Ovis aries: one gene and its partner. The protein of the gene in region 1 purifies or fractionates together with the protein of each later gene. This does not show direct contact. Links are inferred from orthologs where the notes say so. Each region holds a gene or a part of one and is shown on either strand. Other genes may lie near its edges.

Evidence for each region.
Region 2: the proteins of PSMG4 (region 1) and PSMA5 purify together in Homo sapiens (co-immunoprecipitation; 3 studies listed by BioGRID and IntAct, with this or other methods). This does not show direct contact. The link is inferred for Ovis aries from reciprocal best matches to the Homo sapiens genes PSMG4 and PSMA5.

Annotation. Positions count from the first base shown.
Region 1 is NC_056073.1:49,575,881-49,591,348, reverse strand, and holds PSMG4 (proteasome assembly chaperone 4), read left to right. Parts: upstream 1-5,444; 5' UTR 5,445-5,517; coding exon 5,518-5,691; intron 5,692-6,891; coding exon 6,892-6,967; intron 6,968-9,544; coding exon 9,545-9,666; 3' UTR 9,667-9,720; downstream 9,721-15,468. Other genes in the region: SLC22A23 (solute carrier family 22 member 23), read right to left, coding at 13,751-14,108. UniProt on the Homo sapiens protein: Chaperone protein which promotes assembly of the 20S proteasome.
Region 2 is NC_056054.1:86,664,617-86,680,284, reverse strand, and holds the start of PSMA5 (proteasome subunit alpha type-5), read left to right. Parts: upstream 1-6,477; 5' UTR 6,478-6,590; coding exon 6,591-6,619; intron 6,620-11,053; coding exon 11,054-11,120; intron 11,121-15,156; coding exon 15,157-15,283; intron 15,284-15,668. UniProt on the Homo sapiens protein: Component of the 20S core proteasome complex involved in the proteolytic degradation of most intracellular proteins. This complex plays numerous essential roles within the cell by associating with different regulatory particles.

The DNA of each region.
Region 1 (15,468 bases):
GATGCACTGGGAACGCTGGCCTTTGGGGACTTCAAAGACTGATGGGGGCTTCCCCGGTGGCTCAGATGGCAAAGAATCTGCCTGCAATGAAGGAGACTCGGGTTCAGGTCCTCGGTTGGGAAGATCCCTGGAGAAGGAAATAGCAACCCATTCCAGTATTCTTGCCTGGAGAATCCCATGGAGCCCTCCAGGCTCCTCTGTCCATGGGGTTCACAAAGAGTTGGGCACGACTGAGCAACTAACACACACACACACACACACACACACACACACAGAATAGTTCTGATAGCCCCTTTTAGAAGTCTTCCCTGAAAACAGACTCCTCACATTAGGTAATTTTGGTTGGAGAATCTAATCCTCTTATTTTAAAAATGACGGAAGATGAGAGCTGCTTAAAGGACTCACCCTGCTATTCTGAGAATAGATACCTGGCCAGGGGCTGAGATGAGGGTGGAGGCCGTGGGGTGGGGGAACCATTTAGGTTAGTGTCTGCGTCAGATGGAGGCGATGGGCAGAGCCAGCAGGGAGATGCCTGAATGCCTAACAATCAGGGGCCACGTTCTAAACTGGGAGACTGGAGGAACCAGCTTGCCGGGGGACCCCTGGAAAATGAGAGGTTTCTAGGCACATTCGAATGGAAATGCTTGGTGGGCAGCTGAACTTATAGGGTTGAAGCTCAGCAAGGAGGCTGCCTACAGGGACACAAATTCGGGGGAGGTCGGTGTGGGCTGTGAGGTGGGGTCCCCTGGCAGGGAGAGCAGCTCGGGCAGCAAGTGGGCCCTGGAGCTGGGGAGACTGGGACCACCATGACCCAGAACCTGGGGGGACCCTGAGAAGGGGCAGGAGGGAGGAGACATGCTGGAAGCTGCAGCAGCCGGGGCAGGGGAGAGGCTGTGTCAGCCTACGGCTCTCACAGCCGAGGTCTTTGGTGGCGTCGGTGGGACCCACTCAGGCGCGGAAAGGCAGCTGGATGGAGTAGGTTCAAGAAGGCAAGGGTGAGGAATGGCAGGCATGTTGTGGGGCCGCTCAGAGCCAGTGGGGAGACAGGGATCTGTTTAAAGATGCGTCTGCACACTGACAGGAGTCGTCTAGTAGGGAGGGGCGGGTCAAAGATGCAGGAGAGAGATGCGACCTGCTGGTGCCGCCCTGGACGTGAGACGGGGCCCGCGTGTGGAGGACTGGACTTAATCCCGGGATGGAAGTGGATGTAATGGTTCAGTTGGAGAAAGTTTTTCGGGTTGGGGCGGGGGGTGGGACAGATCTGGGGCAGGGCATGCATTATCGAACACTCTTCGGTTTAGAAAATGACTCGAGTGGTTTAACCATTTGGGCCACGCCTCCTGACCCGGGGCCCTGGGAAATCTGGACTGCACTGGTTGTGATCACTCTTAGAAAATCGTGCTGTTCTGTTGCGGTGGCAGAATAGTGGTGCTCATCCAACACTCCATCTGCCCCCCATCCTGGAACCCCTCCACGCCCAGCCACAGTGACGGGTGGCTATCTGCGGTGAGTGGGCTATAAGAGGCTGTGATGCGTCACTTCTGGGTCAGAGCACTGAAAGGCTGGACCCAGCACTGCAGCTGTGACCCGAGGTGGCACCTGGAGCCCAGTACCCCCACTCCCCCACCTCCTACCCTCTTGTCCAAGCTAGAAACACATCGTGAGCTGAAGACGAGAGTTGGTTCCGTCACAGCACTGCTGTTTCAGGGTTAAAACATTACCATCATGTAACCTGGTCTATTACTAACCTGGCATATAGCAGAGTTTGGGTCTGACTTTGGATTAAAGGCCCAAGGATCTCATGAGAGACTGTGGTGATGCTGCTGACATCCTGGATGTTCTTGTGACTCACTGTGCTGTGAACACGCCACACACGTGCCTGCGCACAGCTGCATCTCCAGGTGGGGCCCATCATGAACCTGGGACTCACCTTTCCTCCCCCGGGGGGGAAGCTGATAGGTGTCTTCCCCATGGGCGGTTCTCTTATCCATCACCTAAAGCCTGTAGTTCTTGGTGAAATTCACACCAGACCGAGGCTCACAACCCACACGGGTGGCAGAGAGAGGAGAGGGATGAGTTGAAACACCGGCCCATCCCCTCTTCAAGCCCACAGCTGGCAGGCTGATCTCTCCTGAAGCCTCCTGCTGCTGGCTTTGCATCTGGGGGCTGTGGGCAGCGTGGGAACCAGGACCTGCTCTTTTACCTGAGTGTTCTAAAATTAAACAGTTTAGAGAAAAGACTGACCCTGAGGATAGGATCCAGGCCCTTCCTTTGCTCTGCAAAGCCAAGGCGGCTCTGCATGGGGCCCGCCTCCTTCCCACCTGCCACCCCGCGGCCCCCTGCAGAATTACAGGCTCCTGCCTGTCCTGGAGTGGAAGGATCCTGTTACCCGTCTGCATGCTTATCTGATCTTCACAGGACACTAGCCCTGGAAGGCGCCTTGCTGCTGCTGCTAAGTCGCTTCAGGAAGGGGCCCTGGAGGTGACCTAAGCCAGTCTTTTCATTTCCAGCTAAGGTAACAGAGGCCCAGCGCAGGGACACAGCGCTAGCGAGAGCTGGGCCAGGCCAGGAGCCTGCAGCCCCGTGAAGTCCCTGGCTGTTCCTCCAGCTCCCTCACTCCCCCAACCATTCAGTCCATCTTCCCCGTGCCCCCAGGGCCCTGCCAGCTACCTACCCCAAGGTGAGGGGCCCCCGGAGCTGCCCCGAGAAGCTTCCTGAGAAGGAAGGTGGGCAGGAAAAAGGACATTGTGCCAATGATTGCTCTGTGCGAAGTAAAAAGGCAGGCCAGGAGAGGCTCCCCACTGGGCAGAGTCAGCGAACCTCCCTCCGGACAGGGGGCTCTCCTGCAGGGAAGTCAGGGAGGGTGGGGGAGCACAGGGCAGGCGGTGGGGGTGGGGCTGGGCCTCCTTGTGGAGCTCAGCGTCTGCAGAGCATCAGTCTGGAATGAAAATGGCCCCCGCAGTTGTTCCGTGTTGAGCTGAAATGGCCTAGCCTTTCCGCAGCTGCTTCTGTCAGTCACTGGGTGTGGGCTGCCTGGGGAGGGGGTGCAGACCCCGAAGGAGCCCACAGCGGGAGGCTGTCTGCTCTGGGCAGTTCCAGCAGCTGGGACAGCCAGTCCTTTCTTGAAGGGGGTCTGGGTGGCACATCTCAGAGGCCACCACAGTGTTTGCAGAACTGGCATGGTTGATGGGGTGGGTTCCTGAGGACATGCAGGAGGGCAGGGTCAGAGCACAGAGGGAAGAATCAACCTCGGACACAGGGAGGGGGCATCTCTGCTTAATGAGGGGGAGAAGGAGGTAAGAATGAGGCCACCGGAAGGTATGGGTTTGAGTAGAGGGACAAGGCCTTGGGGAAATTGAGCCTGACAACCTCGATTTTCTTTCTAAATGCAGAAGCTGGGTTATGTGGTGAACTTGGGCTTGGTGGGGTTAGGGCTTGAGGGGAAGCGTCCTCGAGGCAAATGAGAGGGTGCAATCCTGGGGCCCGCAGGGCAGCGTGTTAGGGACAGCTGCTGATGGGGTGGTTAGAGGTTGTAAGCCTGCCTGCTGGGTCATGTGACTTCCCTGGTGGTTATCTGAGCCCAGTGGGAAGAACAGAGAGGAGCACAATCCCACCTGTGCTGGGGCTGGACTGGGGAGGAGGCAGGGAACAGGGGGTTAGCTAGTTGCCTTAGGTTCTCAGACAGCTCTTCAGGATTCTTTAGAGAGAGAAACTCTTGATTTGAAAATGGCGTTTGTCTTCTAAGGGGACAAGGCATTAAGAGGGTATTAGGAGTTAATGTGGGGTGACATCACCTGCTGTGTCAGTCCAGTTTGTTGACTTATTTTTTCATGGATCACACTTCTGGTATTTTGTTGTGAAATCTTGGTCTGATAAAAGGTCACAGACTTTCCCCTATGTCTTCTGCAAGTCCGACAGCTTTAGGTTTCCCATTTACGTCTCTGAACCATTTTGACTTCACTTTGTGTATGATGTAATGTATAAATTGAAGTTCATTATTAATTAAGGAAGTGCAAATTAAACTTACATTGAGATACTCCTTAGGATGGCTAAACGAAACAGACTGGGACATACAGTGCACAGTCACTGTGGAAACAGTCTGTCAGGTTCTCAAGAAGTCACACACGGTACAACCATTCTGCTCCAGGTCTTTAACTACGAGAAATGAAAGCACATGTTCACACAGAGACTTACTTGTTCACACGTGTTTGCAGCAGCTTAACTGCAGCATCCCCAAACTGAAAACTGCCCAAGTGGACACCACCGCATGGCCGCTAAACACACAGCGATGTGTCCAGCCAGCGGAACCCGGATCATCACTGACTCGTAACAGCCTGCGTGAATCTCAAAATAACTGTGAGGAGAGAAACGGCAGACAAAACACTGTATACACTGTACGTTCCATTTACATAAAACTCTAGAAAATGCAAACTGCTCTGTGACTGAGTGCAGCGCAGCGTCCCGGGTGGGGGTCAGGAAGCGCTCCCAGGGGCTTGAGGAAGCCTCTGGGGGTGATGGACATGCACCCTCTTGATTGTGGTGATGATTTTATGAGTTACACGCGTTACAGCTTCAGTTTGTAGACTTTGATCAGTGCAGTTATTGTAGTTTCTTAATAAAGCTGTTAATCTATTATAATATTGACCTGAAAATTATAGATTGAATCATTAATTAGCGAACAGAGCAAGCTTTTTAACAATACTTACTTTCTTAACTGTCAGTTCAATTTAGACCTGTTAGGGATTTAAAAGGAAGAACTGATATCTCTATCCTTAAGCCCAAGTTAGTTGTAACAGAATCTGACAAGAATGGGCGCTCTGTGCTTTTTACTACAAAGACACTCTCTCAACACACTGCAGGGTCCCTGTGTCAACTCTAAGGGTGCCAGAGTGACTCAAGTCAAGCTCCCCAGCAGGGCTGACAGTGGCCCCCGTCCCCGTCTCTGAGGCAGATGGGGAGACTGAGTCTCGGGCTGAACCGTTAGCCGAGGCCCACGCTTGTACAGGGGTCAGCTCTGCTGTCTCGGACCAAAGGCGCGTCAGCCCACGCCCCTAACTCAGTCCACGCCCCTAACTCAGTCCACGCAGCTCTCCTTTTGAGAGCTCCTGCAACATCGCTGCCATTCTCATGGGCCTCCTGCAGCTACGGGGCTGCTGGCAGCAGGAGGGTTTTAGAAAGTGTAATCCAGCTCGCGGGACACAGGCGGCAGCGCTGAGCGCTCGTGGCACCGAGTAAACAGCGCGAGATCATGCGTCTATACCCGGGAAGGTGCTCCTGCGAGTCTACACTGCGCCCAATGAAGACGCCTGCCCGCCCCGCCCCCTCCCGGGCCCGCCCCGCCCCCTCCCGGGCCCGCCCCGCCCCCTCCCGGGCCCGCCCCGCCCCCTCCCGGGCCCGCCCCTCAACTTCCCACCCAGGCCCCGCCTTCCCGGAAGGCCCCGCCCACTCGGCCTTTCGGCGCTCTCCTGCTGGCGTCTGGTGGCGGCGGGCGGGTTGGCGCGGCCGGGCTCCGTGCGGATGGAGCGGCCGGCGGCTGCCGCCGGCGGGGACGTGTCCCTGCACAACTTCAGCGCGCGGCTGTGGGAGCAGCTTGTCCACTTCCACGTGATGCGGCTGACGGACTCGCTCTTCCTCTGGGTGGGGGCCACGCCGCACCTGCGCAACCTCGCCGTGGCCATGTGCACGCGCTACGTGAGTGCGGCGGGGGGCGGGGAGGGGCGGGGAGGGGAGGGGGCGGAGGCAGGGGGAGGGGGCGGAGGCAGGGGGAGGGGGCGGAGGCAGGGGGAGGGGCGCTGGGGTCCCGGCGGGGCGGGTGGGGGAGGGGCCGGGGGCTGCGCCGCCCGCCGCGGGGCTCTGTCCCTCCGCACGGCTGGTTCCCTCCACCCCGCGTCTCTGGTTGGAGTGTCAGGGCCCCCGTGGGACCTCTGCTGTCCGCTCTCACCCTCCCTGGGCCGGGGGTGGCGTGTCCCCCCGGTTTTCTGCCGGCTCCCCGCTGACCGCGTTTGCTTACATCTCCCGCACGGACCTCTCTCCCGCCCTTTCCCTCCGCCGTCCCATCGGGCTGTAACTGGTGTCCCACTGGGCGCTCCAGACCCCAGGCCGCCCCTCCCGCAGAATCCGGCCACTTCTCACCTCCCTCACCTGTCACCTGGGCCCCACGCCATCGCTGCCGTCGGCCGAGGTCCCCTTTGCCACCGTGTGTCAGAGCTGCTGTAACCAAGGGCCGCAGCCCGGGGAGCTTGAGAACAGCAGAGAAGGCGGAATCGAGGCGTCAGCGGGCTGCTTCCTCCCGCTTCTGGGCTTGCAGCGCTGCTCCCACCTTGCGGCGCTGCTCCCACCTTGCGGCGCTGTTCCCACCTTGCGGCCCCTGGTCTGGCAGCCTCATCACCCCAGTCCTGCTCCAGTGTCCCAGGCCTCCTCTGTGCATCTGTCTCTCCCCTTCTTCCTAAGACACCAGTCCTGTTAGAGGAAGAGTCCACCTCCCCTTGCTTACATCTCAACTACATCTGCAGAGACCCTGTGTCCAAATAAAGTCACCTTCGCAGGTGCTGGGGTCAGGACGCTAGGACCTGGACACTCCTCTTGCAGGCCTGGCTTAGCCTGGCACTGACAGCATCAGCGCTGTTGTCCCTCCGCTCAGACCCCCAAGAGTTCAGAGCCTGCATGGACCTCCAGGCCCCATCACGGCTGCGGTGCCCCCGCCCCTCTGACTTTGCACCCACTTGCCCCTCTGGGCTGCTCCAGCCCTTCCCTGGGCAGGCCTGTCTGCTGCTGGGAGAGGACACAGGCCCACTGCAGGGGGAGGCTGGTCTGTGGCAGGAAGGGGGGCCCAGGTGATCCAGGAGCGCTGGACCTCGCAGAGGAACCAGTATCGCTCTGTTTTCCTTGCAGGACTCCATCCCCCTGTCCACTGCCCTCCTCGGGGACACGTCTGACACCATGTCCACCGGCCTCGCCCAGCGCTTAGGTAAGTTCTTCAGCTCAGCTGCCGGAGCGCCCAGGTGGGGACCTCGCTGTTCAGTGGAGTGGGGAGGTGAGTCAGCGTAGGAGGAACGGTCTCCGTCTGGGAGGTGACCCCCCTGGTTGCTGCAGGAAGCCCAGGCCTTGAGCACAGGTCTCAGGAGGTGGTGCCAGCACCCTCTCCAGGGGCCTGCTCCCCACCCGCTCCGATGGCCTTGGTTGCCTCCGAGCCGATGAGTGACAGGTGATTTTGCTCCTCGTTCTCATGGGAGGCGAGGGTGAGGGATGCCCACGGTGCCCAGTGGCAGCGGCTCCAGGTAGCATCCACTGCACGTGATGCTGCTCAGAGCTCGAAGGGAGAGGGCCTGGCGAGGTTTGGGGGCTCCAGCCTCCACTGTACCCAGAGCACACGTCCTGCAGATGCCTCGCTGGTCCAGGTGAGGATGCCCGTGCCTGGTGGTCCCTGGTGCTTGGGAACCTCAGTGGGTAGAGCAGCCTCGCCCCCGTCTGGCCTGAGTGTCCCGGCCACGTGTGGAGCCCAGTGCCTGCCGGGGTGTGGCGATGGGACCCCTGCCATGGTTTTGAGGCGCTTACCTGTGGCTGTGTTCACAGATCTGTCAGCCTGGTCCCTGGGGAGTGGGCATGTCTGTGCCGGTCGCTCTGGGACGCCCCACAGTCACATGCAGCCCAGGGAATGGCAGCTTTCTAGGGGCGGGGTTGTCACAGCGCCCACAGGCCGCACCAGACGGGGTGGAGACCACAGGGCCAGCGGCCGCGTCTCAGGACCATCCACCACACTTGAGCTTTAGTCTCAAGGTATAGGAACCCGAGTAGTACGTTATCTTGGTGACCTCTTAACAGGAAGCAGTTCTGAATCCACAGATAACCAGCAGGAAGAATAGGAAAGCTTCCTGTTTCGCCTTCGTCTGGTTCCCAGGTGCTGCTCTTCCTTCTCTGCCTTCGCCAGAGTTGCTAGTTTTCAGTGGAAATGGGTTGGAACCCTGATGCCCTTTTGCTTCACTGTGTGTGCCTGCGTTTCAGGGTAACACCATCCCCCGCAGCAGCCAGACCTCCGTTTGCTGGGCCTGGTGGAGGAGGGCGGGAGCCTGCCTGCGTGTGGAGCTCGGACTGGGGGGTCCCCGAGTGTGGACAGAGTCCGGGAGTGGAGGCAGTGGGAGCTCGTTTGAGGAGACACGAATGAGCTGGCTCCCAGTGTCCTGGGGGTGAGGCAATCTGTGAGCGTAAACTGGGGCTCTTTTAATCTTTTTTTTTGCATTTTGTGCAAATGTTGGGGTTTTTTTAAATTAGCATTTTTCTTTCACGTGGTTTACATCAGTTTACAAACAATGTAATCTGAAACAGAATACAGACATCCTCTGTAACTTAGGTCAGATGTGATGGAGGCGCCTACCTACCGATATCCACAAACCTGGCAGCCATTGGCCACCACCCAGCAGGGATAGGCATGCGTGGTGAGATGCCAGCCCACTGCCCAGCAGGGTCAGACGCATGTGGTGAGATGCCAGCGCCCCCCGGGGCAGGTGACATGCTTGCTGAGATCGTGGCCGGCCGGCCTGGGACGCCCTGCTTGTTGTCCTTTGGAGCTGGGGTCTGGACCCTGCAGTGGAAGGCGTTATTAACTGTTACTGGTTGTCTGGACGGTGCTGAAGAGACAAGTGTCCCGAGACCATCTCGTGTGGGAGATGAGCGACCTGGGGGCCCTGGGGGCTTCCCGTGAATGGGGACCCCTTGCTCCATGCGGCTCTGGAGGGCAGAGGGGCTGCTGGGCGGACGTGGAAGGTGGGCTCGGGGTTGGCGCGTGAAGGGGTGGGAGTCAGCAGCCCCTGGGGACAGGGACTTTCTGCCACTGAACGCAGAGCTGCTGTGATGTGAAGGGCCCAGCTTCCCCCTCCGCCCACTGTTGCCTCTGATGGTGGGACTCATCTGTCTCTGTGGCCTGTGGGGAGGAGCGCTTTGCCTTTGCCCCGGGGGTGGGACCAGGTGAGGGGGCTGGTACCGCCCGCTTAGTCCTCAGGACCCGGGGTTACAGCTGAGGTTGGTTTTCACGGTTGGAGCTGCTCCCACCTGCCCTGGGTGGTTCTGTAGAAAGGGGCTCAGACGTGTGCTCAGCGTCCAATTGAAAACCACACCCGTGTGTGTGCGCGTGTGTGCACACCCGCACACACGTTCATGAGGAGTGTCAGCTCCTCTGGGAGGAGGGTGGTGGGGTTGGGGGAGAGGGTCGTATTGAAGGACCTTTATATTTTAAATCTGTGGACATTATCTGCGCTTTGAAGACGCGGAGCAGCCGGCCTGTGTGTAGCGCAGGGGCTCACAGACACCGGGGTCCTTGAGCAGACTCGGGGGCTGGGGGTGCGCCTCACTGGGCCTCGGGGCCGTGGCTCTCAGAGCTGCTCTTCCCGACGCCGGCAGGCTCTGGCAGCTGGTCTGTTTTGCAGCAGTTGCCCGTGATGTCGTCGGAGTCAGAGCTTTCTTCGCTCTCGAAAAGCCTGCCTTTCCCAGGCCTTTCTCTGCTACGGGCAGGCGTGGGGTCACACGCGTCCCTGTGGTCTCTCTCTTTCAGCCAGGAAGACCAGCAAGCAGGTCTTCGTCAGTTATAACCTTCCAAACACCAGTAGCAGCTTCGAGTTGCTGGTAGAAAACCGGATCAAGGAGGAAATGCAGGCCTTTCCGGAGAAGTTCTAGCCGGAGAGACTCGGGCACCGGGGACGCTTGAATAAACAGCCTGGATCCACTGCGGCACAGGTCCACGAGTTCCTGTTTGTGTTTAAAGGGCTGGCCTCCTCCCTCCTGTCACCGGGGTGGGTCCCGGGAGGAGGGCCCCAGCAAGATGTGCGAGGATGGGGGGCCGCCCGGTCCGAGAGAGGGCATGGGCCACGACTGTCAGGCCGTCCTGCTGGCTCCATCCCCTGGGTCTTGCTCCGCTGGGCCCTGTCCCCTCACCTGGTAGGTGGGAACCGTCTCACCGGGCTGGGTTATCGCCAGAAACGCTCTGCAAACCCTGGGTGCCGGGGTCCCTAGGACCTGGGTCCCGGGCTTACCTGCTTCGCTGAACATCCCAGCGTCAGCCCCTCCCCATGCTTCCGCCAGCCGTCTTTCCTTCTGTCTGCTCTCTCCTTCATGCCCCGGGCCCCTCCCGCCCACGTCCCCCTCTGCCCACATCTTAATCCTCAGCGTTTTTCCGTGGCTCACGGTGGCGTCAGTCTCTCTGGGACACGTGCTGCTCTCCGGAAGCTGGAGTTCCTGGGTTGGTGGTTCCTCACTTGGCTTCCAGTCACGTCCCTGGGGAGTTTTCACAGCTTCCTCCCCAGAGTCCGGCGGCCCCTGCTTTGTGGGCCTGGAGAGTGCCCCGCGTGCTGCCAGCACAGGACTCTGATGCTTGGGGTCCACGTGGGCCCCTTCTGTCCTGGGAGGTGGTGGTCTGGGACCCTGGAGCTCGTTTCACGTGGTGGCAGGTGTCGTGTCCGGCCAGTGCCCACAGCTGAGCTGGGACAGCTGGGATGAAAGGCCCTTCCAGGGACCGGGTCCCGGGCTAAGCCACTAACCTGCCAGCCCCGGCCAGTCACGGCTTGGAGGTACGGCGGGCATCTCTCTGGGCGGAGTAGGTAACAAAATCAGGGCTATGGAGAGGAGAGTTTGGTATAAATACTTTATTAAAGAAATATTGCTTTCTTGTTAAAAAAAAACACTACATTAAAGAGAGCTCTGGGTGCTGTCTTCCCTGACAGTCACAGTGTGAGAATCGTTCCCTCCTCGGGAGGCTCCAGGCCCTGGGTGAGGTCAGCAGGACGTCCACACGAGAGGGGCGAGCTCGGAAACCTGCCGCCCCCTCCTCGGGGGTCTGAGGGCGGCACTCAGCACGTGGTGGGCAGTCACCCCGCCCTGCCTCCGCCCGGCCAGGAGCCCCCCCACCGCCGTCCTGGGGCAGGGCCGGGGCTGGGGTCACACGGGCGCTGAGGCAGAGACACGGTGAGACCTGAAGCAACAGGGTTTATTCCTTGTAGCCAGTGGTCGTGAAATGCCCTGTAGGGGATCCCACCGGATGAGGTAGGGAAGACATTCCAGAGGAGGTGTGTTAATGGGGCAACGTCTTTATTTCTGTACATTTACACAGATCCCCCCCGGGGTACAACAGCCGTGACGGCATGCAGGCAGCATGGAAGGCTGGGTCAGGGCCGGGCGAAGCTTTGTGCTGCCAGCAGGCACTCCAGGGGGCCTGTCCACTCACGGGCTGCATGGGTCCCGCCCAGGAGCCTCCAGGTCGGGGCTGTGGGGCACAGAGGGCCCCCCAGCAAGGCCGGCGCGCTGTGTCCCCCCGGCCCGGGGCTGCGTCCTGGCCAGGGTCCCCTCAGTCTTGTGGCCCCTCGGCCCCCTTGTTTGGCTGTAGGAAGTGGTACCTGGGGCAGTACTTCCGCTGCAAGGCCTCATTCTTGCTCTTCTGTGGTCGAACCAGCTCACCAGCCCCTTCCCCCTAGTCGCAAGTGATTAGGCTCTTAGAAAATGAGACATTTAAACTCTTTTACCCTTTGTTTCGGGTGGTAATATGCGGGATATTGGATGAGTTGTTACTGGTTTCTGGAAAAGAACAGAAAGCAGAAGGGTCGCTTGTGTGCCTGACTTGTTGGAAGGGGGTCCTGGCTTCCTGGGGTCGGGATGGGGGTGTGCAGGTTGGCGCTGGAGGCGGCGCTGGGTGGCGCTGGTCTCCCGGGCAGCGGGCATTCAGGTGCCTGAGCAGCATCTCCCTGCTGAGTGCAGAGGACATGGGCGGGGGCCCACGCGTGACCAGAGCCTGGCCAAGCAGGCGGGCCCTGCTGCCTTGCCCACGCGGGTGGGGTCTCGGGGGCTTGGCCCACGGGAGGCTTTTCTGCTTTGTCCCTGCTTCTCAGCTGTTGCTCACAAAACCCGAGCCTGTGCTGCCACAGGCCTCTGCTGGGCAGTGCCGCCCTCACGCCTGCAGGAGCCCAGCTCAGCCAGCTTCTCCAGTCCAGCAGCCGGGCCTGACTGTGACGGGACAGTGCTGACCCCACAGGCCCAGCGTCTACCGCGGTCACCTAAGACGGACAGTCTGGGAGTGGTGTGCGGGGACACCCTGCGGCCTCACGCGTTCCCTAGAGGTCTACACCGCCAGCGGGAGGCCACGCAGGGCCTGGGGCTGCTGCCACAGGTGCAGGCACAGCTGGTGGGTGGGGCCCGGGGACCCCGCTTGCTGTCCCGGGACCTGCACTGTGGGCCTGTCCTGGACCGGGGGGGCCCTGTGCCCAGCATGCGAGAAGGGCTGAGGCACCTCCCAGTTTGCGCAGCAGACAGACAGGCCTGGAGGTGAAGGTGAGTGTGACCCGCCCATGGAAACAGAAGTGAAGTGACTGAGACACAGGAGGGGCTGGAACGCAGGCCTGCGAGTTTGCTTGCTTCCCCACAAAGTTCTCCTGAGCCCACGGCCCCTGCCGGGGTCAGCCAGCCTGTAGGGGCACAGTGAGGGGCAGGGGGGAGACAGGCCGGGGGGTCAGGCGGGGAGCGTGGGGCTTGTGCTCACCTCTTCCCTGGCCGTGGGGGCTGCACCACTGCGCGCTGAAACTTGACTTGCGGCTTCGCGCAGACCCGGGACCACACTCTGCCTGGAAGAACAGCCCACGGCAAAGCCGTGCCCCAGAGCTGGGGGCTGGGCCTTCCAGAGCAGCCCAGGCTGTCCCCAGACGGGTGCCAGAGCTGCGGCAAGACAGTGCCCGCCTGGCTGGCGAGGGTAGCTTCTTGGCCTCCCCTGCGCTGCTTCTGAAACAGCCGCAGACGGGAGCCGAGGGCCTAACCTGGACGGGCGGGAGGCCGAGGCGAGGAACGCGACGCGCGCCCTAGCACAGTGGGCCGGGGCCGGGGCCGGGGCGAGCTCCGGTGGGTTATTGCTTCTCTCGGTCGGCCTCGATGTCCTCCGAGGCTGCGGTCAGGCCCCGCCCGAGGCTCGCTCCTGGCCAGGGGAAGCAGAGGGCACGGCTGGTCCCCCGCAGGCTCCCCGGGGCCTCCAGGCTGGTGATTTCCGTGCGGTGTTAGTTCAGGAAGGAGCCGGTATTCAAGTCGTGCTGCAGAAACGCTGACTGCGAGGCGGCGCGGCGCGGGGGCCTCTCCTGCGGAGCTGCACCGGGAGGAGGGCCCAGCACTGACTCGGGAGGCGAGGCGCTGGCTGCTGGGGAGCGGAGCCGGCAGACCTACGCTGGAAGACCTTGGCGATGTCACCACTCATCATTTACGACTTCCGGTGAAATGGTGATGCTTTTCCCCTGGAAGAGCTTCCGGGTCAAGTATAAAAGGATGATCTCCAAGTAGAGACGAAGCTGGTTTTAATGAGATTGTGAGCTGCTTTTCCTTAACACAGAGCGGAAGTTCTTCCCTTACAGAAAAGACCTTTACAAACCATCACAGAGACTTTAGCAAAACCCTAACCATTCACATCTCAGTCTGAGGAAAGTGCAGCCGTGGGAATGCTCGGGGGCAGGGGCACCCCCCGGGAGCCGGGCTGCGCGGTCCCTGCGCGCGCGCGTCCTTCCCGAGGAGGGGGCTCCGTTTTGAGATCAGTGAAGGGAAGGGAATAAAGTGCTTCTTGTAAAAATGACCAAAATAAATACAAACATTTCATGGCAGAAAAGAAAGTCTCTGAAGGGTCGTCTGCTAGGTCTGCTCCCTCAGACGCGGGCGCTCCTCGAGAGTTTTGCAGTGTCTCCCACCCCCACCCTCGGGTCCCCAGCCTCCGCGGAGCGGGGTCTCCCACGGCCGCGCCCAGCTACATGGGCCGCCCGCCATTGGCCGTGGCGCCGTCAGGCAGCCCGTCGCCTGCGGCAGCCGCGTCGTGCAACCCCGAGTAGTCCTTGAGCTCGGCGTGGGTGGGCAGCAGCGGCTGCTCGCCGCGCCGGGGCGGCAGGAGAGGCTGGCGCGTGTAGTGCTCGCCGTCGGGGATGCTCTCGGGCAGACTCTGGCCCCGGCTCTCGGGCAGCAGCAGGAGGCAGATGATACAGATGAGCGTGCAGCAGGCGAAGATGACGTGGTGCAGGAAGTAGCCCTTCTGGTTGTGCAGCTCGATGATGGGCGCCGTCAGCATGCCGAAGCCCGCGCTGGCCAGCACCAGCCCCAGCCCGCCGCACCTGCGGGGCGCACGGGTCAGCGGGGCGGGCCGGGCTCCACCCCCGCCCTGTCCTGTCCCGCGTCCCCCTCCCCCCAACCCCCGTCAGCCCAGGCTGCCTCTTCGTTCACTTTCAACGGTGACTATAATAAACACCAGCGTAAGGGGGAAAACCAGCCTCACTTGCTGTACATGATACAGGGTGTCTGGAAACCAAGTGTTACTAGCTTACGCTGTTGTCCCGAGGCTTGCTCTTGGCTTAGAAGAGAGGAGGGTGGCCACAGATTAATGAAGGCATTAAAAGCACATCAAGATGAAAGCTGCCAAGACAGCGGAGCATAGGGACCCCGCGCTCACCTCCTCTCACGGGCCCACCAGAATCACAGTGGTCTGCGGAACAGCCGCTGATGAAAAGGACCAGAAACTGCCAAACAGACCCACAGCTAAAGACGTGAAGAAGGAGCCACGACAAGATGGGCAGGAGGACCAGACGCACAACACAAAGCCTCATGACCCCCACTGGCCCGCTGACCCACACGCTGGGACTAGATTCCAGAGATCTCCTGCAGAAGTGAGTTCTGAGCCCCAAGTCGGGCTACCCAGGCTGGGGGTCCTGCACCAAGAAGAAATACACCTCAACACAATAAAGGCCATATATGACAAACCCAGGCTGCCCGGTGGCGCACTGGTGAAGACTGCCTGCTGGTGCAGGAGACGCAGGTCTGATTTGCCTCCAGGTAAGATCCCCTGGAGGAGAAGATGGCAACCCACTCCAGTACTCTTGCCTGGGAAATCCCATGGACAGAGGAGCCTGGGGGACTACAGTCCATGGGGTCACAAAGAGTTGGACACGACTTAGTGACTGAGCAGGAGCATGATCACAGGCCCACAGCTAACATACTCGATGGTGAAAAGCTAAAATCGTTTCCTCTGCGATCAGGAATGTGAACAAGGTGCGCACTCTCGCCGTGTTTACACAGTGTAGTTTTGAGTGAAAGTCCTAGCCACAGCAATCAGAGGAGAATCCAAACTGGAAAGAAGTACAACTGTCACTGTTTGCAGATGACATGAAGCTGTACATAGAAAATCCTAAAGATGCCACCAGAAAACTGCAGGAGCTCATCCGTGAATTCGGTTAAACAGCAAGATAAAAAATTAATAGACCAGTCTGTTGCATTTCTGTACAGGAACAAGAGACTCTCAGTGAGAGAAATTAAGGAAGCAATCTCAGTTGCCATCACATCAAAGGGAGTAAAATACTTAGGAATCCACCTACCTAAGGAGGCAAAAGACTTGTGCTCTGAAAGCTATGATGCCAGTGAAAGAAACAGAAGATGATAGAAACAAATGGAAATATACACTGTTTTTGGATTGGCAGAATT
Region 2 (15,668 bases), on another chromosome or scaffold:
TGCAAAGGAGACAGGAGCCTTGAATATGAGGAGTGTGGTGGCCTGCCATCTAAAGTTGACAATGACCAACTGAACCATCAAAGCTGATCCTCTTACAACTATACGGGAAGTTGCCCAAGAGCTCTACACTGACCATTCTATGGTCATTAGGCATTTGAAGCAAATTGGAAAAGTGAAAAAGTTCAATAAGTGGGTGTCTTATAAGCTGACTGCAAATCAAAAAGAACTGTCATTTTGAAGAGTCATCTTCTCTTATTCTGTGCAACAACAATGAACCATTTCTCAATCAGACTGTAACATGCAATGAAAAGTGGATTTTACGTGACAACTGGTGATGATCAGCTTAGTGGTTGGACCGAGAAGCTCCAAAGCACTTTCCAAAGCCAAACTTGTACCAAAAAAATTAAGGGTCAGGGTCACTGTTTGATGGTCTGCTGGTGGTCTGACCCACTACAGCTTTCTGAATCCCAGCAAAACCATTACACCTGGGAAGCATGCTCAGCCAATTGATGAGATGCACTGAAAACTGTAACGCTTGCAGCTAGCATTGGTCAACAGAAAGGGCCCAATTCTTCTCCATGACAATGCCCGACCACACATCGCATAACATAACCGATGCTTCAAAAGTTGGATGAGTTGGGCTACAAAGTTTTGCCTCATCCACCATATTCACCTGACCTCTTGCCAACCAACTACCACCTCTTCAAGCAGCCTGACAACTTTTTGCAGGGAAAATGTTCCCACAAGCAGCAGGATGCAGAAAATGCTTTCCAAGAGTTTGCCTAATCCTGAAGCATGGATTTTTATATGATAGGGATAAATAAATTTATTTCTTGTTGGCAAAAATGTATAGACTGTAATGGTTCCTGTTTCGATTAATAAAGATGTTTGAGCCTAGTTACAAAGATTTAAGATTCAGGTGCTCTCGCACCTAACTGTCAAATAGATCAATTCCAATTACATACACAGGAACTGAAGAAATGATCATTGGGTGGGCCAACAGACACCATGGACCCACTGTTACTGACTTTAGCAAGGACCCCATTTACCACAAGGCCCTCATAAGCTTCCAGTCTAACAGGGGGCCGTGACAATGCTTGGGTCTCAGGGTACTGAAATCCACTTTTTGAGTCAATTTTCTGGTTTTCCCTCTTCCACATGTGCAGTCACTATAGTAAATGGCCACAGGTCTCTTTGGGGAAGGACTGGAGAATTATTACATGTATAACTTGCTGAAGTGATGCAGGATCTGCCATCTCTTAGTCAACGGATTTCTGATCTGAAAAGTGGCCCAAATCCAGACACTGAACAAGGGATAATGAATTTTTAGCTAGGGTTGGGGGTGAGGGGGACCATCTTCAGTCTCCTATTTTTCCATCTTGGCCTGTTTTTGGTTGTAGATGTTAACTTTACCTCTAGAGATGCTAGGCTCTATATCCGTCTCCATAATTCCCCGTGGGTCAAGGCCCTTGGCTGACAATCTTGTCAGATGTTGCTAATCTTTTTAATATTTGTGGCCTCCCAGTGATTAAATGCCACCATCTGGCCTATATTTCTTGGGGGAAGGGGGATATCATTCCCATAGTTATTAATCAATCCCAGCTCTGTTCCAACCCCAGACTGGTCCTATGTCAGCCCAGACTGCAGAGAACTCCTTGGTGATGCTCTTGCCCCTCACCAGAGGATTTCTGACGGCCTTAGTGAATGGTGTGTTTCCTGGGTCTTCCTGTGGAACATAATCCTCTGATGGGTCCTCTGGCCTCACACCTATTCCTGCAGGCCCACTTCCCTGTCTTTTTATTCATTCTTCTACCACATGCCAGGGCAACTGAGACATTTCTACTTTACTCAGCATTGGCCATCACTTTCTCTAGGTTCCTAAAATCCCCCCTGCAGTTTGTTTCATCCCCAAGGGTTTTGGCTATGGTGTTAAATCCTGTGCCTCCAGAAAGTGCTCCTAATTCAATGAATTCCTGATTGTAGTCTTATAGTCCAGCCCCTTCGATCAAGCAACCTCAAAATTCAACCGCAGGATGCTCTCCTGGCTTCTGTCTGTATATGCTAATTCTTACAGCTCTTTGTATATAATCTCTTTCCTTCTGTATCAGGCCATGTATGTTCTCAGCTGGGCTTCGGTAGGACTTAACTCTAGTAAATCCTGGAGGAGGAAATGGCAACCCACTCCAGTATTTTTGCCTAGAGAATCCCATGGACAGAGGAGCCTGGCGGGCTACAGTCCATGGGGTCGCAAAGAGTCAGACACGACTGAGCAACTACTACTACTGCCCTGGCAGCCAGTAGAGGAGGAGGTAGAGGCTTCTATGTTGCCTTGTGGGGCAGTGGCTCTGCAGTGTCTTTCAGCATGAAGGGAGTAATAAGAAGAGGCAAACCACCTCTGCAAATTTTGAGAGTTCATGCGGGGCTTGCAGAACTAACGTCCTTACAGACGTCCATTCAGATGCACTATCTCTTGTTTCAGGTTTTCTCAACTGGGGCCCTGACCTGTTGTCTCTTTGATGTCTCGAGTCAGTGGCTTAACTGTCAGCTCTTCCATGATAGGAGATAAAAGCCTCTTTGAAAGCTACTAAAGAGGCCCACTGTCTCTCATTCTCAACCATTATCCAAGGGAGAACCCTTGCTTTCTCCTTATTCCTTTCCAGAGTGTCACTACAAGTGCAGTAACCAGTAACTGCCCTTACAGGCATGTTTCTCCCCCAACCACCATGCATTTCACATGCCTGAAATTGTACCTGCAAGGGCTTTCTCCTCCACTAGGATGTGTTCCCAGGTTGTTCTTAGTCGCTCGGTCATGTCCAACACTTTGCGACCCCATGGACTGTAGCTCACCAAGCTCCTCTGTCCATGGCGATTCTTCAGACAAGAATACTGGAGTGGGTTGCCATGTCCTCCTTCAGGGGATCTTCCCAACCCAGGGATCAAATCCTGGTCTCCCGCATTGCAGGCGGATTCTTTACTGTCTGAGTTAGCAGGGAAGCCAGGTTACTAATGATTAAACCTTTAGCAACTGGATCACCAACTGTGTTAGTAAGTACCCATGCCCTTATACTACTCAGGAAAGCGTCATCTTTGTTTACAAGGTAGTGAGTGTGCCAGTCACACTTTCTCCACTTTCTATGTTTTCCTGGACCTCTCCTGGTACCACCTGTGCTAGTTTGGGCCCTCTAAGAGGCAGTTGCCAAAGTGTGATTTGACATGTACATCAGCTAGGGCTGGGTGGCTTAAACAATAGAAACTTATTTCTCACTCTTTTGGAGGCTAGAGGTCCAAGATCAAGATGTCAACAGGTTTGGTTTCTTTCGGGGCCTCCATCCTTGGCTTGCAGATGGCCACTTTTGCAGCATGGCCCTTCCTCTGCACACATACCCCAAGTGTCTCCTTACGTGTCCAAATTTCCTCTACTTTTAAGCAATCAGGCAAACTGGGTTAGGGTTCACCTTAACAGGTTCATTTTAACTTATGTCTTTCAAAGACTCATCTCCAAATACAGTCACATTCTGAGGTACTGTGTGTTTAGGGCTTCAACATATGGATCCTTCAACATATGGATCTTGGGGAAATCACAATTCAACCCATAATAACATGCAAGATATTTATTAGGGGAGCTATCTCTCAAAGATAAAAGGAAAAGGAGAAGGGAAGGTGGTAAAGTCTGCAAACTGTGACTGTGAAGTCACATACCTGACATCTATGCAGAGAAAAAGGAAAGGATTGAGTAGGCAGGTCTCAGACTGCAGCACAAATTGAAGAAACTCTAAGTTAGGCTGGTGGGTCCTCCAGTCAAAACTGCCCATCAGAGGAGTCCCAAACGTTACAGCAATGAACCACATGAGCAGCCATGTGCAGTCATTTATAAGCCAGACAACTACGGGCACATAAAGAATTTCGTTTAGGGACCACTTCTTACTGGTTTCTTTGCGTAGTGTTTCCAGTCCACTCTGGCTGTCCTGCCACACTTTATTTTGCTCCAGGACCCATGTGCCTAGCTCTCCAAGGTGTTTATATGTCTTTCTATTTTTTGAGTCCAGCTCATTCTCTGTTTACTTCATTCCTTTCCTTTCTGCCTATGGCTTCCTTATTATTTTTTTTCAGAGGGATATCCAGTTCAACTTTCGATGAAACATTTATTGAACGGGATTGATTACGGGCAATAAACTACAGTAGGTGCTGGATTTTTATGCCCTAATGGTCTACTTTCTTGGGAGAAAACAAGATTTCCCTTCTTATCCACAATCAGAGCTACCTGCAGCTTCCTTTCACTTATGATATATAGGGCACAAGCACATTTACCCTGAGAATTCTACATTCAAATAATTTTTTGAGACATTCACCATAATATCTGATATTAATAAGGGCTGCAGAGCACCCTGCATCCCTGGATGTTCAGGATATATTATTATGCTTTAAGTGAGCTTCCCTGGTGGCTCAGCAGTAAAGAACCCGCCCGCAATGTAGTTTGATCCCTGGGTCTGGAAGATCCCCTGGAGAAGGAAATGGCAATCCACTGCAGTATTCTTGCCTGGGAAATCCCATGGACAGAGGAGCTTAGTGGGCTGTAGCTGTAGTCCATGGCATCACAAGAGTCAGACAGGACTTAGTGATTGAAAAACAACAACAACCTATTTAGATACATAGGTAATATTTATGTAGGTATGTATAAATAGTTCAGTTCAGTTCAGTTCAGTCGCTCAGTCGTGTCCGACTCTTTGCGACCCCATGAATCACACATGCCAGGCCTCCCTGTCCATCACCAACTCCCGGAGTTCACTCAGACTCACGGTATATTTCAAAAGAACTTCAGAAGAGAAAGCATAATGAACTTAACAAAGCATAATGCAGCTTAACTATGGCCTTTATAATAGAAAGGCCATATTAAGCTGACCAGAAACCTGAGGGATAAATCTAAAAGACGTCTGAGAATTGCTCTTGGAATTTCTCCTCAGTTTTATCAGCGTCAAACTTCTTACTGGCTGGAGGACACAAAACAAAATTCCAGTTGAACTCATGAGGGAAGGACATAAAGGATGGGGAAAACAGATACCAATACTCAGAAGGCTTGTTTCTATATTTCCCTTAACACTGAATTGCCTTGATCATTTACAAACCTAATCTGAGGCCAAGTCAGGAATTTGAGAGAAACAGGCCTGGAGAGGTTGAGGCCTTGACCAGTGGTATATTATTAACCAACAATGGAACGCTGGCGTTTCTCTTTCAGTCATACACCACGCACTAAATGACTTCCTAACTGGCTATCTTTCTTGAACGTATCATTTACAGCTTTCTATGAAGCTGTGAGTGTGCTCTCCTACCCTTAGGGAAGGTAAGTTAGAAAAACAAACAAGACATTGCTGCCAGTTAATTCATGGATAATAGAAAAAGCAGTGAACAATTTGAATCCCAGATCCAGAGCTCTGGGTCACTAGGTTGAAAGCCTGTAGTACTAGTGGCTGGGGGGTAAGAATGGAAGTCCCCTACACATGAATGAGTTCCCTTCCAAGAGCGTGTTAGTAAGTCCAACAAAGTTAGCCTAAGCATCCAACTAACACAATCGGCTATATAGTACTGTACTGTAATAGGTTTCTAAATACTTTTCACACTAATATATAAAAAACAAACACAAAAAAAATAAAGAAAACACTTTTAATCTATGGTACAGTACCTTGGAAAGTACAGTAGTACCAGCTACATCACCACTGCTTTAGCTCACTTCGGGATATCTTGGCCTTCAAATAAAGATACTATACTACTGTACTCTATATACTACTGTAAAGAACACAAAAGCAAAACCACTTGTAAAGGACGCACACATGTGACAATGTGAACTATCTTAGGTAACTGGACAGGGGAAGGCACTTCCCACCTTTGAAAGTTTGCAACTTTCAACTTTGAAATTTCCTATGTAGGAGACTTCCTGTAAAATTACCCTGGCCATGGGGAAACTTCAAGACCTTCCTACCAACTAAAACTCACCAACTTTTCTCAACAAACGAGCCATGGGAAGGGTGAGCTGAAGTGAATGGACTCGCTCACAGCACCGGTGCAGACGCAAGCATTTCCCAAGTTCAGTCCTGCAGGCAGTCACAGCACCTGGAGGGAAGTCTGCGCCAGAGCCGGAAGAGCGGGGAATACAGCTAACAGCCGGGCGGGTGGACAGCGAGGAGAGCCTGGGACAAACGCTCTCTGATAGGGACCCATCAAACCAGGGTTCAGACAGTCCGGCTCGCCATAAAATTACCCAGTCGACAATCTTGGGACAGGTTGACCACACGCCTTCAGTTCCGAGCGCCCCTGGCAACCACTAGCGATTTAAAACGGAAGAACGACCTTTGTCCCGCCCACCCTGGGCCACCGGAGGCCCGGCGGGTTAGCTCGTTGGCCCAATCACCTCGGCGGGAACTCCGATCAACCAATAAGAGACAGGTACGGGAGGGCGGGCTGAAGGGTGGCGAGCGCACGCGCAGCTGGGAGAGTGGCCCTGGCAGTGTGGCGGTGTGGGTGAGTTGGTTGCAGGTGGACTCGTGTTGGCTCTAAGAATCCCGGAGTAGCCACTGCCGCTTTCTCCTGCCCTTACCATGTTTCTCACCCGGTCTGAGTACGACAGGTCTGTATGGCTGGGGGGGAGGGGAGAGGGGGTCAGGTAACGGGTGGGCGGACGCGGGGCCCGGTCTGGGCCTGGGTTCTGCCGTGTCATCGGGGCACCCCCACGAACCCGAATTCTGGCCCAGCCAGGGGGTTTCCTCCCTTCCCCAGGCGTCCGCTGTGTTCTCCAAGGCTAGATTTGCGCCCATCGGCCTCAGTTGTCCTACCGCTGAGTCACTGCTGGGTCCCAAGTCGGTGCGGAAGCGTGAAGCTCCGCTTTGTGCTTCGGAAAAGAAGGCTGATGGGGCCGGAACTCTGACCTTTAACCCGGGGAAGGCCAGGAGTCACCCTCTCTCCCCTTCTTTTTGTGCTGAGTGTGACTGCCTTTTAAAAGATGTAAACGCGCTACCTGGAAGAAAAAGCAATTAGGGATCACTTAATGGGTTTGATGATTTCAGCTCCCTTTTCTTTCTAGGAGGACAGCCTCGTTTTCCGTTTCTTAGTTGTGGGAATAAAGGTGCTATTCCTTTGATTGAGTTGTAGTAGGGCGTCCTGGGATGTTTAGTTTCTGCAGAGGAGCGAAGGAAGTCTCAGCTTTGCCAAGACACAGTGTCTGGAGTCAGATTTTGTGGGAACTGAAATTTAGAGTGATTCTCAAGAGTTTTGTCATCATGCTGATTCAAATAGCCTTTTTGAATTTTTAAAAAGTTTAAGGGAAGTTGCTCTAAGTGTGTCGAAAACCAAACCTGTTTTTGAAATCAAAGCTGTGAGATTGTTGTATCTTTAAAAAACTTTCAGAGCTTGGGAATGTTAATATTAAGTTGTTCTACTTATGCTGTAGACATTTTTACTTTCAGTTTCTGTTTTGATCAGGTATGATTCACATAGCTAGCTATTAAGTTGCTTAAAAATTTTTGAGGCCAGGAAAGGCAGATGTTTTCTCTTTATTAGATGGCTTTGAGAAGCTGCATTTCTTCTCAAGTATATGTTGATCTTGTTGAAAGTCTTATCACCTAGAACTGCTACTTCTAAAAAAAATTTTTACTGACTCATAAGATGTATGTGAGGCTTTAAAACTGACTTTTTTTCTACTGTCCTATAAAATGACTTTGTTGGTCGGTATTTTCTAAAACATTGAAGAGAATCGTCTTTGTGTGATACAGTTTTGAGTAAGGGTGTGTATGATGGAAATTGTCCTTATCAGAAAACCTTTATTAAGGTTTTTGTGATCATTTACTTAACAGCTTTATTAACTGCTTCGTGTTACTCATTTTTGTATCTTCCTGCGTTTGTGTTGAGTCGCTTTACTCGTGTCTGACTCTCTGCGACCGCATGGACTGTAGCCCACCAGGCTCTTCTATCCAGGGGATTCTCCAGACAAGGATACTGGAGTGGGTTGCCATTTCCTCCTTCATTGTATCTTCATAAGAATGCCTAAAATATAGTCTGCTTGGCTAATATACTTAAATGCTTGCTGTGTACAAGGCACTGTTTTAGTTGCTGATCATATAGCAGTGAAAAAAATCAAGATCCTTGTTCTCATATGGGAGACTGTCCTTTAAAAACTACTTAACAGGAAAATTCTCTGGTGGTCCAGTGGTTAGAATTCTGGGCTTTCACTGCTGAGGGTGCAGGTTGGATCCCTGGTTAGGGAACAGATCCTATAAGCTATGAGGTATGGCCAAAAAAAAAAAACCCCGCTGTTTACAAAAGTAACTACAGTATAAGTCAGAAATGTGTTCATGTCATTAGAGAAGCTGAAATCAACACTATGGGAGTTTTAATGACAGAGGTTGCATTTGATATTATAAGGGGATTATGGAAAACTTTAGAAGGAGTTGATATTTAAACTGAGTTCAGGAGTAAGAATTTAATAAATATGCACAGTAAGAGTCAATAGTTTTGAGGCAGAGAATATAAGATGAACAGAGGAGGGGCCGTGAGAAAACACAGTTCATGTTTGAGAAAATTCTAGGCTTCTGGCACATACAATGCGCATATGGGAATAGGGAGTTCAGAGAAAAACACTGGTGCTAGGTATTGGGTGGCTTTTAATTTGAAGTTGAAGGGTTTGGGTCTTATTTTGTGCCATTAATTGTCATTTTAAGTTACACAGTCATAATTGTATTTATAGGAACTAATTGACTGAATTAGAGGAAAGAGTCAATACCGGTTAGATGGCTGTTATAGTTAGGTGAAAGGTAATGAGGGCATTGAGAATGGAAGGGAGAATTGAGTTACTGTGGGGGAGGAACTGATTTAAATTAATATGACTTGGCATATGGTTAATATGGGAAAGGGCTTCCCAGGTGGCTCAGCGGTAAAGAATCTGCCTGCCCATGCAGGAGCTGGAGGTTCATCCTTTGGTCGGGAAGATCCCCTGGAGGAGGAAATGGCAACCCACTCCAGTATTCTTGCCTGGAAAATCCCACAGACAGAGAGGAGCCTGCTGGACTCCAGTCGGTGGGGTTGCAGAGTCCAGCACGACTGAAGAGACTGGGCACTTGTGCACTAATACGGGAGAAGGGAAGCACTGAGTCAGGTCATTCAGAACTTTCTCGCTTGGGAAACTGGGAGCAGGGAGGTGTTTCAAAGTAAACAATGAAGTAGGAATGGCAGCAGGTGGAGCCGATTTCGAAAGGATGACTGGATTTAAGATTTATCAGATTGGAAAGTGTTAAGTGTTTGGTATTAATGGGATATCCATGTGGAAACACTCAGAAGACATTCAGCTTAACGAGGAAAGAGGTCAAACTGGCAATAGAGATTTGGAAGTAGTTAGTGCTTAGTATAGATGAAATAACCCAGGGAAGGTTTGAAAAGAGGGCCAAGAGCAGAGCCCATATTAGAGAAGATATGGGAATACTTCACCAGGATGAAGTTCCTGAATTAGAGCGAAAATACTGTATTCATATTCACAGAGTAATTTGGTGGCTCAGACCGTAAAGCGTCTGCCTACCATGTGGGAAATCCAGATTCGATCCCTGGGTCAGGAAGATCCTCTGGAGAAGGAAATGGCACCCCACTCCAGTACTCTTGCCTGGAAATTCCCGTGGACGGAGGAGCCTGGTAGGCTACAGTCTATGGGGTGGCAAAGAGTCAGACGACTAAGCGACTAAACTTTCACTTTCATAATCTGTGCCATTCAATACCAATTGTATTGTGATAGAAGCAGGATAGGTAGGGTGTTTTTTTTTTTTTTTTTTTTTGCATTTGAGAGAAGGAAAGTTAGTAGGTGACACAACTAGAATTTAATCCCAGATCTTCTGCCCTGACTTCCTTCTCACTGATTTTTAAAAAACTGTTCTTTAGAGTCATAAATTTCCTTTTAAATGACCTTGAGGAAAGCACCTCTGGGGAAAATGAGAGGCTGGAATGGTGAGATTCTCCTTTGAGTCCTGATAGTTAGAAGCTTCATCTCTGTAGTCGGATTGACTAAATTCTCATTCCAGCTCTGATTCTTATATGCTGAGTGACTTTGGGCAAATTACTCCACCTCTTTGTGTCTCAATTTCCTCTTCTCTAAAATAGTATCTGCTTTAGTTTACTTCATGGGATTGAGGATTAAGTGTGCTGTCATTTCTAGGATTATAACAGTGCTAGGCATATAGTAGACATGCAGTAAACATCAGCCTTTATTATCTGTTTTATGTTTGGGAGTTACACACACACATTTCTTTTAGGGGAAGAAAGTTTTTGATAAATTTGAAAACACTGCTCTTTGTCATGATAGTTACATGTTATAAACTCCAGATTCCATAAACCAAGGAACACAACTATTTGCTTTTATTTGTTCAAATATTCTTAGTGTCCATCACGTGCTGAAAGCTTGTATAGCTAATACTATGCTGCCTCTTCTCCAAAGGAATTTCTAACAGACCGGAGCAAGGAAAGGTTGGGAATTGTTTAAGGGAGAAGAGCATTCTGGCATATAATTAGATAATATACTGAGTGAATTAATCAGGTTAGGTTTTAGGAACCACACAGATCTGTCTGTTGTTCCGATAACAATACTAGTTCATTCGAATAACCAGAGAAATGCCCCTGTGGCTGACTTCTACTAAAAAGAAATGTCAAATGCACATAATGGAAAGAGGATAAGGATAAATGCACGTTTTCTTAAGAATTACCTGATAGTTTGGGGGCATGAATTTACCAAAGGGATTCCAAATTGATTCAGGCTTGAGGCAGAAAGTCGCCTACTCTCATTTGGTCAGTTTGAAGATACTCTGAGAGTGGGACAGAAGTGTTCTGTACATAGGTTCCATTCTCTTGAAAAACTGTTAATGTACCCAGAAAATAGAAGCTTGTTGTGGTTAAAAGAGAATAATGACAATATGCACATCCGAGCTAGATGTCAGGGAACTTGAGTTTAATGTCTCTATGTGGTTTTTTTGTGTGTGTGTTTTTTTCTTTTCTCTGAAAATTTTAATACCTTTTTTTCTTTAAATTATAGGGGTGTGAATACTTTTTCTCCTGAAGGAAGATTATTTCAAGTCGAATATGCCATTGAAGCTATCAAGGTATAGTATCAAGTAGTATCAAGTGGGATAGTTTTTGAAATTTCATGTTTAATGCTTTGCTGGCAGAGCATTTGGAGTAAATGTATTTAAATAATTTCTTTAGAAAATGTTCTTTATCTCCCTTTAATCAATCACAGTTAACTATAAAAATATTTTAATTGAAGTATAGTTGATTTACAGTGTTGGGCACAATTAAACTTTTTTATAACTGATTGAGTCCCAACTATTTGAAAGCTTTTTAAACAAATTACTTCTTCACAGTTATGTAAGTAGCTTTTTCTTAGTAGGGTTGGAAGGACATGTTTGTGTTTGTAATGTTCTTAACTATAAAGAGAGGGGTATAAAATTCCTGAGTTAGCACCTGCGAGGTATTTTGTCATCTTGAACAAATTATTTAACTGATCGCCTGTATTCTTGTTGGTAAATTTGTCAATTTGTACTAGATATTTTTGGGACTGAATAAGAGATGTGTTCTGTAATCTAACAACAAAATTGAATAGTTCAAACCAGTTTTCAAAAAGTTAGAAAGTAAACTGTATACTGGAATTTAGTTATGTGGGATCTTCTCTTTGTTGGATTGTGGATAGTCTGAATTCTGATTTAAACCTAAGTTAGGTCGAGGAGAATGAGGTCCAGGCATCAGTATTTTAAGGACTCCCTTGGTGATTCTAGTGTCTAGCAAGGGTTGAGAATTACTGATCTAGTCCAGCTCTTCACTGTTTCAATCACCTTTACATCCCCAAACAGGTTGTTTTTGTAGTTCTAGTGACAGAATATTTTCTCACTAGATAGCCCATTCTGTTTGAAAATAGGTCATAATGGTTTAGAAATTTATCCTGTATTGAATTGAGTCTAGCTTCATGAAATTTTCTTCAATTGGCCCTAGTTTTACCCTTGAACCATACAAGATGTTTAAACCTCTTCCATAAGACAATTGCCCACATATTTGAAGAGAACTGTTGTGTTTCCCTCTAAATTACCTTTTCTAAAAAGTGTATATTGGGGAAATGGTTGTATGACAGTCTGGAAAAGGGCAAAGCAGATTCTTAGTTGAAGGTGTAGAAGTGAAGGTGGAAGCATTGTAATAGATAGTAGGCAGAAAATGATGGACCAGCTACCTGAGCTGTTTTTCTGTTTCCTCACAATATTGTTTTCCTGAGAGTTAATAATTCTTCTTTAAAAATTTGCCTGATTTGGTATGTAAATATCAATAATTCATCCCCAAGTTCTCCAGGTTATGCATATCCTTTCAAAACACCCAGGCACATTAAGTATCCCGTTAAAAGATTCTTAAGAAATCTTTGAGCCTATGACCTGCTCCAGCCTGGCTGATTCTCTGGGCCTGTGGCATGGCTGTGCATTTACGATCTTCCGTTGTCATCTTCCTTTAGCTCTCTCTTGCATTGTTTTATCATTTTATCCTTAAAATGATATGATATAAATCAGGTTGCTTCTGGACTTTCTTTGCTTAGCTTAGGATTTGGATTTCTCATGTCTGCTTTATTAAAGAATTAAGAATCCTTTAATTCTTCAAGGATTAAAAAAATTTTTTTTTCGTTAGATTTTTTTGTACCCTTAAACTAGCTAGATTCTTTAGATACATTTTTTTGAACTGCAGATCTTGAATTAGTGGGCATTGGGTCAATTTAGCAGGTAGTAGGAGCATCTCTCTTTTTAAGTGGAATGGAGCCATGGATTTCAGGATGCCTTGCCCAGAGTGTTGGTGATTTCTTTTCTTATTTTCATGAAACTTTGTTTCTATTTGTTTCTTTGTATCTATTTGTACATTTTGGTCCTTGATGTAGAATGTATTTCTTAATGTAGATTTGATCAGAAAATTTGAAAACTCCTGCTGTAGAGAAAACTGCCTCTTCTCATATCATGCCTGAAGGGTATTTTTGGCTACTCACTTCCGAGAGCAGTGTAGGGGAAGAAGGCTGGGATTTGTAACATTAAGCTTGTCAATTTTTACTTAATCCCCTTGTTTTGACAGTAGTACTCCTACCTTTGAATGGTGCTTGGTGTCCTCCAATGTAGACGCACCCTCATTTTATGCTTTCCAGAGTCGTCTGCAAGAGTGGGAGTGGGGGGCATACTCTAGCTTTACAGTGTGGGGTAAGGGATCTAGAAATCTGTTTCTTAAGCACACACTGAACTAATCTTGTAATTTTTAGCTGTTCCACTTCTATTCCCAGAGATCCTTGTTGCCATCATTCCCTTTTTGAGCACCAGTAGTGGGGTGGTCCTGTGATATAAATCAGGTTGCTTTTGTACTTTCTTTACTTAGCTGAGGATTTGGGTTTCTTGTGTCTGCTAAGTAAATTATCACTTGCCCACCTTCTTTTTTGAAAATGTTGTTGTTTCTGTGGCTTTGCCTTTCTCTTTGTCCTAGTATGTTTATCCTACCCATGCTTAAGCCCTTTAATCTCCTATCCTCAGGCTTGGGGAAGGAGTGGAGCTAATGTACATATTCAGTCTACGCCTTTACTCAGAAGTAAGAGCATTCATTTTTTACATAAAATTCTTTGGCAGTTCATTTCTAGCATTTATGCATATACTGTGGATTAATAAAATATACAATGAAAAGCAGGTATATACGTTTAGTAACACTTCTAAATAATGTAATGGCAACCCACTCCAGTATTCTTGCCTGGACAGCCCCATGGAGCCTGGCATGCATCCATGGGGTCACAAAAAGTCGGACCCAACTTAGTGACTCAACAACAACAAAAAATAAGGTCATAACTTCGTACATTTGAAAAGGAATACAGATATGTATGAGCTATGATCATTCAGTCTACATATGTGTTGAAAGCATGTTGTGCACAATGATTCATGAAATTCGTTCAAATACTTTGCGATAACAGACTCCAGGAACCTGATGCTCACACTGACAGTCATTGCTTTGTAGAACTAAGTGAAAAAAATGGCTATTTAGAGAAGCGAGCACATATAGTCCTGGGAGACGTTACGAATGATGGGGTGGGATTTGGATTGGAAAGGGGAAGAGTATATTCCAGGGGTGACGGCATGGCAGAGGTGCAGATGCAGGGGATGACATGGCATGAGGAAATGGATTTGGCTGCAACAGGAGGATCTGGTTAGAGGATAATGTGTAATAAAGTTGGAAGAGAAAAGTATGGTTAGGTTTTGAGAACTCTGGAAGCTTGCTTGGATTTTATGTGTAGGTAGTATAGGGAGACATTGGTTCTTCACAGAAGAAGTATAATGAAAATAGCATATTATTGTATCAGTTAGGCTATCCATGAACAATGCATTGGGAGAGAGATTAAAGATGGGGAGACTAAGTAGGAGGCTGTTGAAGTCATCTTGGCACATAAAACAGCTAACATCTGTTGCTTGTTTATTATGTGCAAGTTGCCATTTTAAGTATTTTATGTATTAGTGTGTTTACCCTTCTTGATGGATAGATATTATTACCCCCATTTTGCAGATGTGAGATGAAGGGTGGGTGACTAGGATGGTGTTGTGCAGCTGGAAGGATGAAATCAAGCTATATTGTAGACTGCTAGTGACCTTGAGAGAGATTTTTATGTTGTTGGTGATGTTTCTTTTTCTTTCTTTACTTTTTTAAAAAATTTTTTTAAGTAAAATTTTTTTTCTGGAGGTCACATACATTTGAGGGATATCACCTTTTGGGATAATTCAAGGTAGCAGAGGTAAAAAGATACCAAGTCCAAAAGCAACATTACAGTTGTATTATTTCTCATCCACTATGTTTAGGACTTTAGAACCTGCCCGTCTCCAAAAAACTGGCGCCAGAGTTGATTGTTTTCCAGACATTTTGAATACCTTATAATAAAACTTCCCCTTTACAAGCACAGAATTCTGTAAATCAATGGTCTTGTCACTGACAGGAATAGTACATTATTTATTAGGGGACTCCTGTTCTCTCTGTGTACTAGCTATGGCTGATTGAAGCTTCAGTCCTGTGAAGATATACAGAGAGATGTCTGGTGAGTAGGTGAGACTATTCTTTGGCTTCTCCATGATAACATAACCTGTTTTTCTTTAGCTTGGTTCCACAGCCATCGGGATCCAGACATCAGAGGGTGTATGCCTAGCTGTGGAGAAGAGAATTACCTCTCCACTCATGGAGCCCAGCAGCATTGAGAAAATTGTAGAGATTGATGCTCACATAGGTAAGAAGTAGGGGAAGATTGTTCTGTAGGATCTTGCTGAGTTCATCAGGCTTCCTTGGTGTTCCAAGGGAGGTTCATTAGGTGAACATCTGATTCCCTTGTTAGCTGTTGCTTTCCAGGCCATTGTGCATAATATTGGTAGTAGGAAGCAGTTGTAGGATTCACCTACTCCCAGAAGTTCCTTTCTCCCTCAAATTTAGACTTGGCAAATGTGATGGTTATTGAAGCATGTAAAAGTTGAATCATAGGCCAGTTCCCTATGATGGCTGGGTCTTCATGGATGTATAACATTAGGAGGCCACCTGGAGCAGAATTATCGTGTGGGCAGCTAGGGGTGTCCACTGAGATAAGAGAAATTCTTAAAGATCTTCGGAGTGACTAAGGT